2 linked regions of the Coturnix japonica genome follow. The protein of the gene in region 1 purifies or fractionates together with the protein of each later gene. This does not show direct contact. Links are inferred from orthologs where the notes say so. Each region holds a gene or a part of one and is shown on either strand. Other genes may lie near its edges.

What was found.
Region 2: the proteins of LLGL1 (region 1) and PARD6B purify together in Homo sapiens (affinity purification with mass spectrometry; 5 studies listed by BioGRID and IntAct, counting the BioPlex papers as one, with this or other methods). This does not show direct contact. The link is inferred for Coturnix japonica from reciprocal best matches to the Homo sapiens genes LLGL1 and PARD6B.

Annotation. Positions count from the first base shown.
Region 1 is NC_029529.1:5,078,452-5,082,256, reverse strand, and holds part of LLGL1 (lethal(2) giant larvae protein homolog 1), read right to left. Parts: intron 2,292-3,805; coding exon 2,071-2,291; intron 1-2,070. UniProt on the Homo sapiens protein: Cortical cytoskeleton protein found in a complex involved in maintaining cell polarity and epithelial integrity. Involved in the regulation of mitotic spindle orientation, proliferation, differentiation and tissue organization of neuroepithelial cells.
Region 2 is NC_029535.1:12,092,101-12,096,578, reverse strand, and holds the start of PARD6B (partitioning defective 6 homolog beta), read left to right. Parts: upstream 1-1,517; 5' UTR 1,518-1,671; coding exon 1,672-1,737; intron 1,738-1,833; exon of another isoform or gene 1,834-1,894; intron 1,895-4,478. UniProt on the Homo sapiens protein: Adapter protein involved in asymmetrical cell division and cell polarization processes. Probably involved in formation of epithelial tight junctions.

The sequences.
Region 1 (3,805 bases):
TCTTCCCCCCTTTGACCACCCACTCATGTAACGTCCATGTCATTTCTAAGTATGCTGCCCAGACCAAGACTGAGGATGCTTCAGAAGAAGACCTTCCCTGCTAAGCCAAACAGAACAAGTAAGGTACCAAAATATGTAGAGCCAAACGAGGAAAGGTGCTCTAAGAAGGTAAGCATCACAAGAGACCAACAGGAATACTTACACAATCCAAACAATGCACAGTTTCTGTTCCACAAGCTGCCAAGAGGAATGTGTGCAGTACTCACAGCGCACCATGTACACTGCTTACTGCAGTCATACTGCTTCGTAGGACCAGCCCAACTTACTAAAACACTTTAATGAGCAATCCGAACTGTCTGGATCAGCACGGTTCACTTGGAAGGGACCTTCACAGATAAACCTGAAGAGGTGAGGCGACTGCACTATCTAAACCTTAAAGCATATAGGACCTTAAAGCATAAGCTTAAAGCACAGAAGCATGACCAGCAGGTCGAGGGAGGTGGTGCTGCCCCTCCACACTCCTCTCATTGAAACCCCATCTGGAGCACTGCACGCAGTTCTGGAGCCCTCAACACAAGAAGGACTTGGAGATGTTCAGGCAGGTCCAGAGGAGGGCCATGAAGGTGATCAGAGAGGGCTGAAAGCACCTCTACTATGTGCACAGGCTGAGAGAGATGGGGCTCTTCAGCCTGGAGAAGACTCCAAGGAGACCTTAGAGTGGCCTTCCAGTATCTGAAGAGGGCCTACAGGGAAGGCTGGGGAGGGACTTTTCATAAGGGCAGGTAGCAACAGAATGAGGGGAAATGGCTTTACATGGGAAGAAGGTAGATTAGGATTGGATATTAGGAAGAAATGCTTTACTGTGGGTGTGGTGAGACACTGGAGCAGGTTGCCCAGCAAGGCTCCAATATGATTGCTTTGCAAGTTCCAAACTATGGCTAACAGCTAATGGAAGTCCTCAGTCCAGCAGCACAAAATTTTATATTATCTTCTTAATATTCTAATTGTGGATTTGACGTTCATATAAAGAGCAGAAGGGAAATTACTCTTAGAGCTCAAGTCATCTTTCACAGCCTGCGTCAACAAGAGCAGCACCTCACAGCCTTTGGTTTGAAGACCCGGACCACAAGCTAGCTAATGATTTTACACAGAATTCCAGAGTTCAAGTCATTGTTTATGTTAGGGCTGCAATTCTACTGAAAGCCTTCCAGTTCATCACACTTCATTATCAATGGCACCACAGATACCTCACAAAGAAGCATTATGACGTCACAAAGGGGCATTATGACATCACAAAGGGCATTATGAATCACAAAGGAGCATTATGACATCACAAAGGAGCCTTATGACGTCTCAAAGGGCATTATGACGTCACAAAGGGCATTATGACATCACAAAGAAGCATTATGACATCACAAAGAAGCATTATGACATCACAAAGGGGCATTATGACGTCAAAAAGGGGCATTATGACATCAGAAAGGTGCATTATGATGTCACAAAGGGTGTTATGATGTCACAAAGGGGCATTGTGGACTTCACTGCCGCCCGAGGCTCGGTGCGCGCGCGGCCGCAGAGGGGGGGCGGCAGCGACCAGGGAAGACCGGCCAAGCGGAACGGAACCAACCCGGGAGCGGCCACGCCGGCAGCGGGGAGCGTCTTGCCCCGGATCAACCCCAGCCCCGCCCGCCGCTCTGGTACGAGCCGCAGCCCCGCCGGCCCCACATGATGAAGAGTTCCGTTCCGCGCAAGGGCGCAGAGCCGAACCGAGAGCGGATCAGCCACGACCTGTTCGCCTTCAGCAAGACAGTGGAGCACGGCTTCCCCAGCCAGCCCAGCGCCCTGGCCTACGACCCCTGGCTGTGTGTGATGGCCATCGGCACCAAGGCAGGAGCTGTTTAAGCTGTACGGCGCGCCTGGTGTGGAGCTGACGGGTTTGCACAAGGAGACGGCCACTGTCACCAGCATGCACTCTTCTTGGCCGGGCAGCAGGGCTGGCTGCTGTCCCCTGCTGGATGACAACTCGCTGCACCCCTCTGGGAGATCTACCAGAAGGAGGGCTGCTCCCACCTGGAGGAGACACGCAGCTTCGGGCTGCCTGCACGCCCTGGCTGAAGCTGCGTGTCTCCTCCAGGTGGGAGCAGCCCTCCTTCTGGTAGATCTCCCAGAGGTGCAGCGAGTTGTCATCCAGCAGGGACAGCAGCCAGCCCTGCCCGGCCAAGAAGTGCAGCTGGGTGACAGTGGCCGTCTCCTTGTGCAAACCCGTCAGCTCCACGCCAGGCGCGCCATACCTGGGGGGGGTGTTAAGGAAAAGAAACAAAAAACACCCCCAACAAAAACCAACACAGCCCCCCGAGCTCCGCTTGGCAGCCACTCAACCAGCACCCTGCACTGAGCCCAGGTTAACCCCCATTGCAGCCAAACCCCCTCCCGCTCCCACCCCACGTCCCTGACGCCCCACACAAATCCCCCAATCCCTGGCCGAGGGTCACCAAGCAACGGCCCTTCAGCTCGTGTTGCTGGGAGCAACCCGCTCTGCCGCCAGCCGCTGTGCTCATCCCGCTGCTCCCCCCACCCGCTTCCTGCCCCCAGCCCACCCAGCCCCGCACACAGGGCCCCGAGCGGCCCCGCACAGCAGCGAGCTGCAGGGTCTGCAGCTGGGGCCGAGGAAATGAGGTTGGATGGTGCTGAGCTGGAGGCCCCAGCGCTCGGTTCTGGGGTGAGACGCACCCTGAGCTACCCCCAGCCCAGAGAGTGGGATGGATCCGACATTCCCGGTCCCGTTTGGCCGCCCCATTGCACTCATGTAGCGGCCAGGAGCCCACCCGCAGGGATGGCCCCAATTAGCCACGCTCGCTTGGGCACGGACAATGTCCGCAGTGCTGGGAGCTCCTGGGGCCCTCAGCTTTCCCATGGGCCCCCCCAGCTCAGCAGGCACTATGCAGCCAACACCGGTGCGGCACAACCACAGCACCGAGTGCTTCACCGCGCCGGCACCGCAGGCCCAACGCTTCCGACCGCCGTCATGGGTCAGGATGCGGTTGGCATGTGGCCATGCGGGCACACGAGGGCCGGGCCGGATCCTGGCCTCCACCACCCCCTTCTTTCTCAGCAGGGTGGGGTTTGGTATGCGCCGGCACGGCCGCACTCACCCAACTGGTCCCGGCTCCTCCATCGGCAACGCCGCTCAGCAGGAAGCGCGGCAGGACCGGCACCGATGCTCTGCACCCATAATCACGCAGCACCCCAAGTGCATTGAGCCTCCCAGTCCCCAGCTCAACGACCCCACAGCCCTCCCAGCCAGCTGCCTCCATGGCCCCAACCCCGGGCACTGCCTCACACCTCAGAGTTACATGCGGGGCTGGATGGAGGCATCCCTGCAGCGTGGTTTCCGCACACCTCCCCGTGCCCCGCACGCTGCCCTGGGCACGGGGAACCGGCCCGGCGGCTCTGGCAGGTGGGAGCTGTCTGGCAGCGCCGGTGTGGCCAAGCTGGAGCCGCCGCGGCGCTGGGGACGGCCCGGAGGAGCCAGACAGCCGGGTTGGGGCCGTGGGGATCAAGGAGTGGGGCAAAAGCACAGCCCCAGGGCAGCCGCCGACCCACTGGGATGGGGCACGGCGATGGCACCCAGCGCTGCTCACCAACCCACGGCACAACACCAAAGGGCTCCCAGTGGAACTCAACACACCATCCCTAAAACACGCTGATGGGCAATAAGCACTAGGGCTATGCAGCACACAGCAGTGCAGTACTATAAGGGGACCAAGTGCCAGGACCCCCTGGTTGCTGAGGAGACACAGATTGC
Region 2 (4,478 bases), on another chromosome or scaffold:
CCAGGCTGGACCACGCTCTGAGCAACCTGATCAAGCTGCAGGCGTCCCTGCTCACTGCAGGGGAGTTGCACTGGATGGCTTCAAGAGTCCTCTGCAACTCAGATGGTAACACAGTTCTATGGACCTGAAAGAGCATCCGGGACAGCAGTAGCCAGGGACTTCTCTGCAGTGAAACAGAATGTCCCCCTGATCCAGGGATTACAAAACCCAACCTGTCTTTCAACTTCACAGAAGCTGAAACTGGTTGTGCCATGAATAGTCATGATCAAGTCACAGGTTTGTAGACTCTGTGACTAAAATAGCTCTTCAAACTTGTGCTGCTCCCGGCCTCTCACTGTATCTTGATCTGAAATCAAGCTGTTTATTGCATTCCTTCCTCATACGTCAGCTCCCAGTGATGAGAGCATGCCAGTGATTAATACTCTTTATTAGGTCAGTTCCAGAGACTTGAAATGAATTTGCCCTGAGTCCTGAAGCACGTTACCACACCCACAGTGTGGAACTCCAGCCATCCTAGGAATGCAAGATAGAAAAAAATCCTTATCTGAGGTGAGACTCCAGAAATGTTCCACAGTAAAATCGGCTGCAGGCACAGATCAGCTCCAGGAAGTTCTTCCAAGGAAAACGGCAACTGACTGCTTTAAAAACCTGGCAGAGGTTTGCAAGGGGCTCTTGACTTCAATAAGCCGACTCACACGCTTTCTTCCTCCCTCTACATACTAAACTCTGTAAATGAAAAATCCTTTTTCTTCAGATTTTAGGCATGACACGGTCCCCATGTTAAGGTCTGCCGGTACCTCCCCAAGGTCACTATGTGGACGGTTACACAATAATGGTTGTTCTATCGCAGTGTAACACACACAAACGACGTCACAGAAAACCCTTCAGGCGTGTCACCAGGTTACGGACGGGGCTTAAAACAGAAAAGTCCAACAACTGCACGGCCAGGACAGGCCTAAAGAGCATGAGAGGGACAGGGAGGGAGCACGGCCTGGGCTGGGGCAGTCACACCCAGCAGGATGCAGTCAGTCATGTTTCAATGTCTCACACACATCCCGCTCCGTACAGTCTCACACATTCGGATCCAGTCATGTTTCTCTCACACCCCGCACACTCGCGGCCTTTCCTTCCCTTCCCTTTCCCGGCGCTGTCCCACTCCTCCCTCACAGATCAGCGCATCGTGCTGCCGGGCCGCGTTCCCTCGCACAGCCCCATGTTTGCACACCAGACCCGCCCGCTGCCGAGCAAAGGTCCCGCGGCTCGTCCCACCCCCGCCCCTACACAGAATCACTCCGTACTTCCTCATCTCCGTGCGGTTCCTCCCCCTCCATCTTGTAGCTCCGCCTCAACCCGGCAGGTGCTCGGTGCCGCCGTCCCGCGCTCAGCGCGCACGGCTCAGTGCGCATGCTCGCGAGCGGCAGGTGCGCGGCCCCGCCCGTGTGCGCATGCGCGGTGCGGCGCTGCCCCGTCCCGCGGTGTGAGGGCGGCAGGTGCCAGGAGCCGCCGGCCCCGCCCGGTGCCGCTGTGTCAGGGCGGCGCCGCGGTGCCAGGAGCGGCTGGAGGCGTGAGGGGCGGGGGGATCCGGGGGGATCCGGGCCGTGAGCGTCCCGCTCTGCCACCCGTGGGCGCCCGGGGCCGAGAGAAAAGAGCAGACGCCGAGCAGCCGGCGGAATGAGTCGGCCTCACCGCGGGCCTGCGGGCAGCCGGGGCCTCGGCACCATGGAGGTGAAGAGCAAGGTAAGCGAGCGGGGAGCGGGCGGCCCGGCCGGAACCGCGGGGAGCCCGGCGGGTCGGGGCTGAATCACGGACTCACTGAGTCACTGAGTCACTCACCTGCGGCAGCGCGGCCTGGGGCGGGAACCGCGCGGCGGGACTGAGCGAGCGACGGGACGGAGGAACCGGGCCCGGTGTGCGCAGCGAGCGGCGGGACGGAGCGGGGCGGGGGTGGGAGCTCGGGGGGGATCGAGGCTAAAGGCGTTCCAGGGTCGGGTCGGGGGTTGTGACGGACGCCGGGCCGTGATCGCTGCCCATCACACCGGGCTGCTCTGCGGGCAGAGTCTGCATGAGAACTTAGTGCCGGCCGAGCTCTCACGAGGCTGTATGTGTATGTGTGTATGTATGTGTATGTATGTACACGCTGTGGCTCCTCCAGCAGCCCTGCTGTCAGATCTCCGCAGGCTCCATGTGTCTATTGGCATTTCTGCATCATTTCTGCATCCATTGCCGTTGGTTTTTTCTCCTGGTTCCCGTAGTTTTGCTGGCAGATGTTCAGTGTTCTGAAACAGATCTTGGGGTTTTTTTTGGCTTACCGTGATCATATTTTGGTACTTTGTCCTTTTGCAGTTAATTACATTTACAACTGTAAATCTTAATATGCGTTAGATGTGAAATCTTAACTGGTGTGAAGCTGCTAAAGAAATGCGTTGTTGTGAAATCCTTTCCATCATCACACCAAACTACACGGCCCTGTGGGGATGTTTTCTTTCATTGGTTTAAAAGAAAAAAAGTCCTTTTGTGCCTCTTTATTTCTAAGCCGCTCGGGTCTGTTTGCTGTTCGTACTCTGCTCCTTCCTGCAATCCAAGCATCCCTTTGCAGTGTAGGAGAGGCAGCCGGGAGCTGGGGATCTTTTTCTTGTCTGTTTTTTAAACACTAGTGTGACAAGTGCTTGTACATGAAAAGCAGTGCTGCGCTTTTGGGACTAGCATGGATGATAATTACTGCTCGTTTTTAACTTAACTGTGATATGGGTGAAGTCACAATGCCAAGGAATACTTGGCTGCCATGATCCCAAATGCTGGTTAAGCACAGCTGTGACTGTGTCAGTGGAGCGTGTTGTTTGTTGTTTTAATCTATGTGCTTGTAGGATTGAAAGCAATCAGAATAACGTGTTTATAAGCAATACTTCTTGCCACAGCTCAAGCCTCCCCTGTAGTGTGCATTGCCTGATTACAAGTATGTCTAGGGATCAGCTGCGTGGTGCCTCCTTTGGCATTCTGCAGAGCAGGTCTAATGAGTTGGGGCTGTCTCTTAGTGTACTATGAAGAATGTATCGAGGCGTTCTCTGAACTACTTGTTGCTAATACATTACTTTCAAGTATCTAGATTTAATGTATCAGAGGAGTCATCTTCCTTCCGTGAAGAAGCTCCAAAAAAGAAAGAAAAGCTGTGTGGGAGGTGGAGGGGAGCATTCCTGTGCAGTGCTGTAAGATTTGAAGGCTTGCCATCAGTGTCCAACGCTGTGTTCAGGTAGTCCAACTCAGTAATCATGCACCGACTGACAAACCCATGCCTGCAAAGCCCATTGTGAGTGGGAATAGTGTTTTCCGATTCTTTGTTTTGTATGGAATGAAATCTAATATACCGATAAGCTCCAGCAAATGTATCTGTCTTATGTTCTGTTATTATTGCTTAAGACTGGTAGTGTAGCAGCGGCATGCAGCATTAGACAGGACATAAAGATGCTTCTCATAAGCGAGTCTTACTCACGTGGGTATCTCAGGTGAATTCCTGGTACATTGCCATAGCTTGTGCTGTGTTTTTCCAGCTGATTCTTCTGATTTTACGTTTCTGTGCTTCATTAAAGTTGCAAATTTTTGTTAGTGCAGAGTGGAATGTGGTGCAACGTTTGATATCAAATGGAAACATTGCATGAGATTAATATAGACAATTATTACATGAGATTAATATGGACAGGGAATTAGTTTAGCTTTTCTACTTTATCAGCTTCGTAGTACTGAGCATGTGGCAAGTTTTGTTAGAGCATAACGTCTGTGGAAATGGTGGGGGGAAAAATTAACTTCACATGCTTGGAAATGTGACCGTTCATATCCTTGCTGCAATCACACCATGTTTGCTTCAAGTTGAGAGTAAGATTGTTGGTGGCGTTCTTTTAAATTCCAGTGTTACTTAACCGTTCAAACTATGTTGTCTTTCAAAACCAAACAACTGCAGATTGATACAATGCTTGGAGAGTTTCCATAGCGCTCATACTTGAAATAGCTGCAGCAGGGTTCAGCAGGAACTCGGTCACGTTCCATCACTGACATCACACTTCAGCTGCCTCTGACGTGGAGGAAGCTCCTCCTGCAGGCTGTTGTTTGCTTTGTGTGAGTCATCTCTTCTGACTTAAAGTGACTGAAATAGGAATATTTCTAGAGTGCCCCCAGAGAATTCCATTATTTGAGAACTTTGAAGATGAGGTGTTAATAGTGTGTAGGCTGTTCTGCTGTGCCTGTTTGAGTCTGGGCGGTGTTAATGTGCTAACAATAGGGTCCTTGTCTCCTTATTTTCGTGCCTTGGTATGTGAGAATTCTAAGGCCTCTATTCTCTAGAGCTGTTTTAATCAGTGGTGAGGTAAGGGTTGCTCTGAGGCCTGGTAATTTACACCTCCCCACCTGCTGTGTGTAACACCTACCCCACCATGTGATACTGAGACTGGAACTCCTGGCAGCGTTTCATTCAGTGTGCCCTCGCCTTC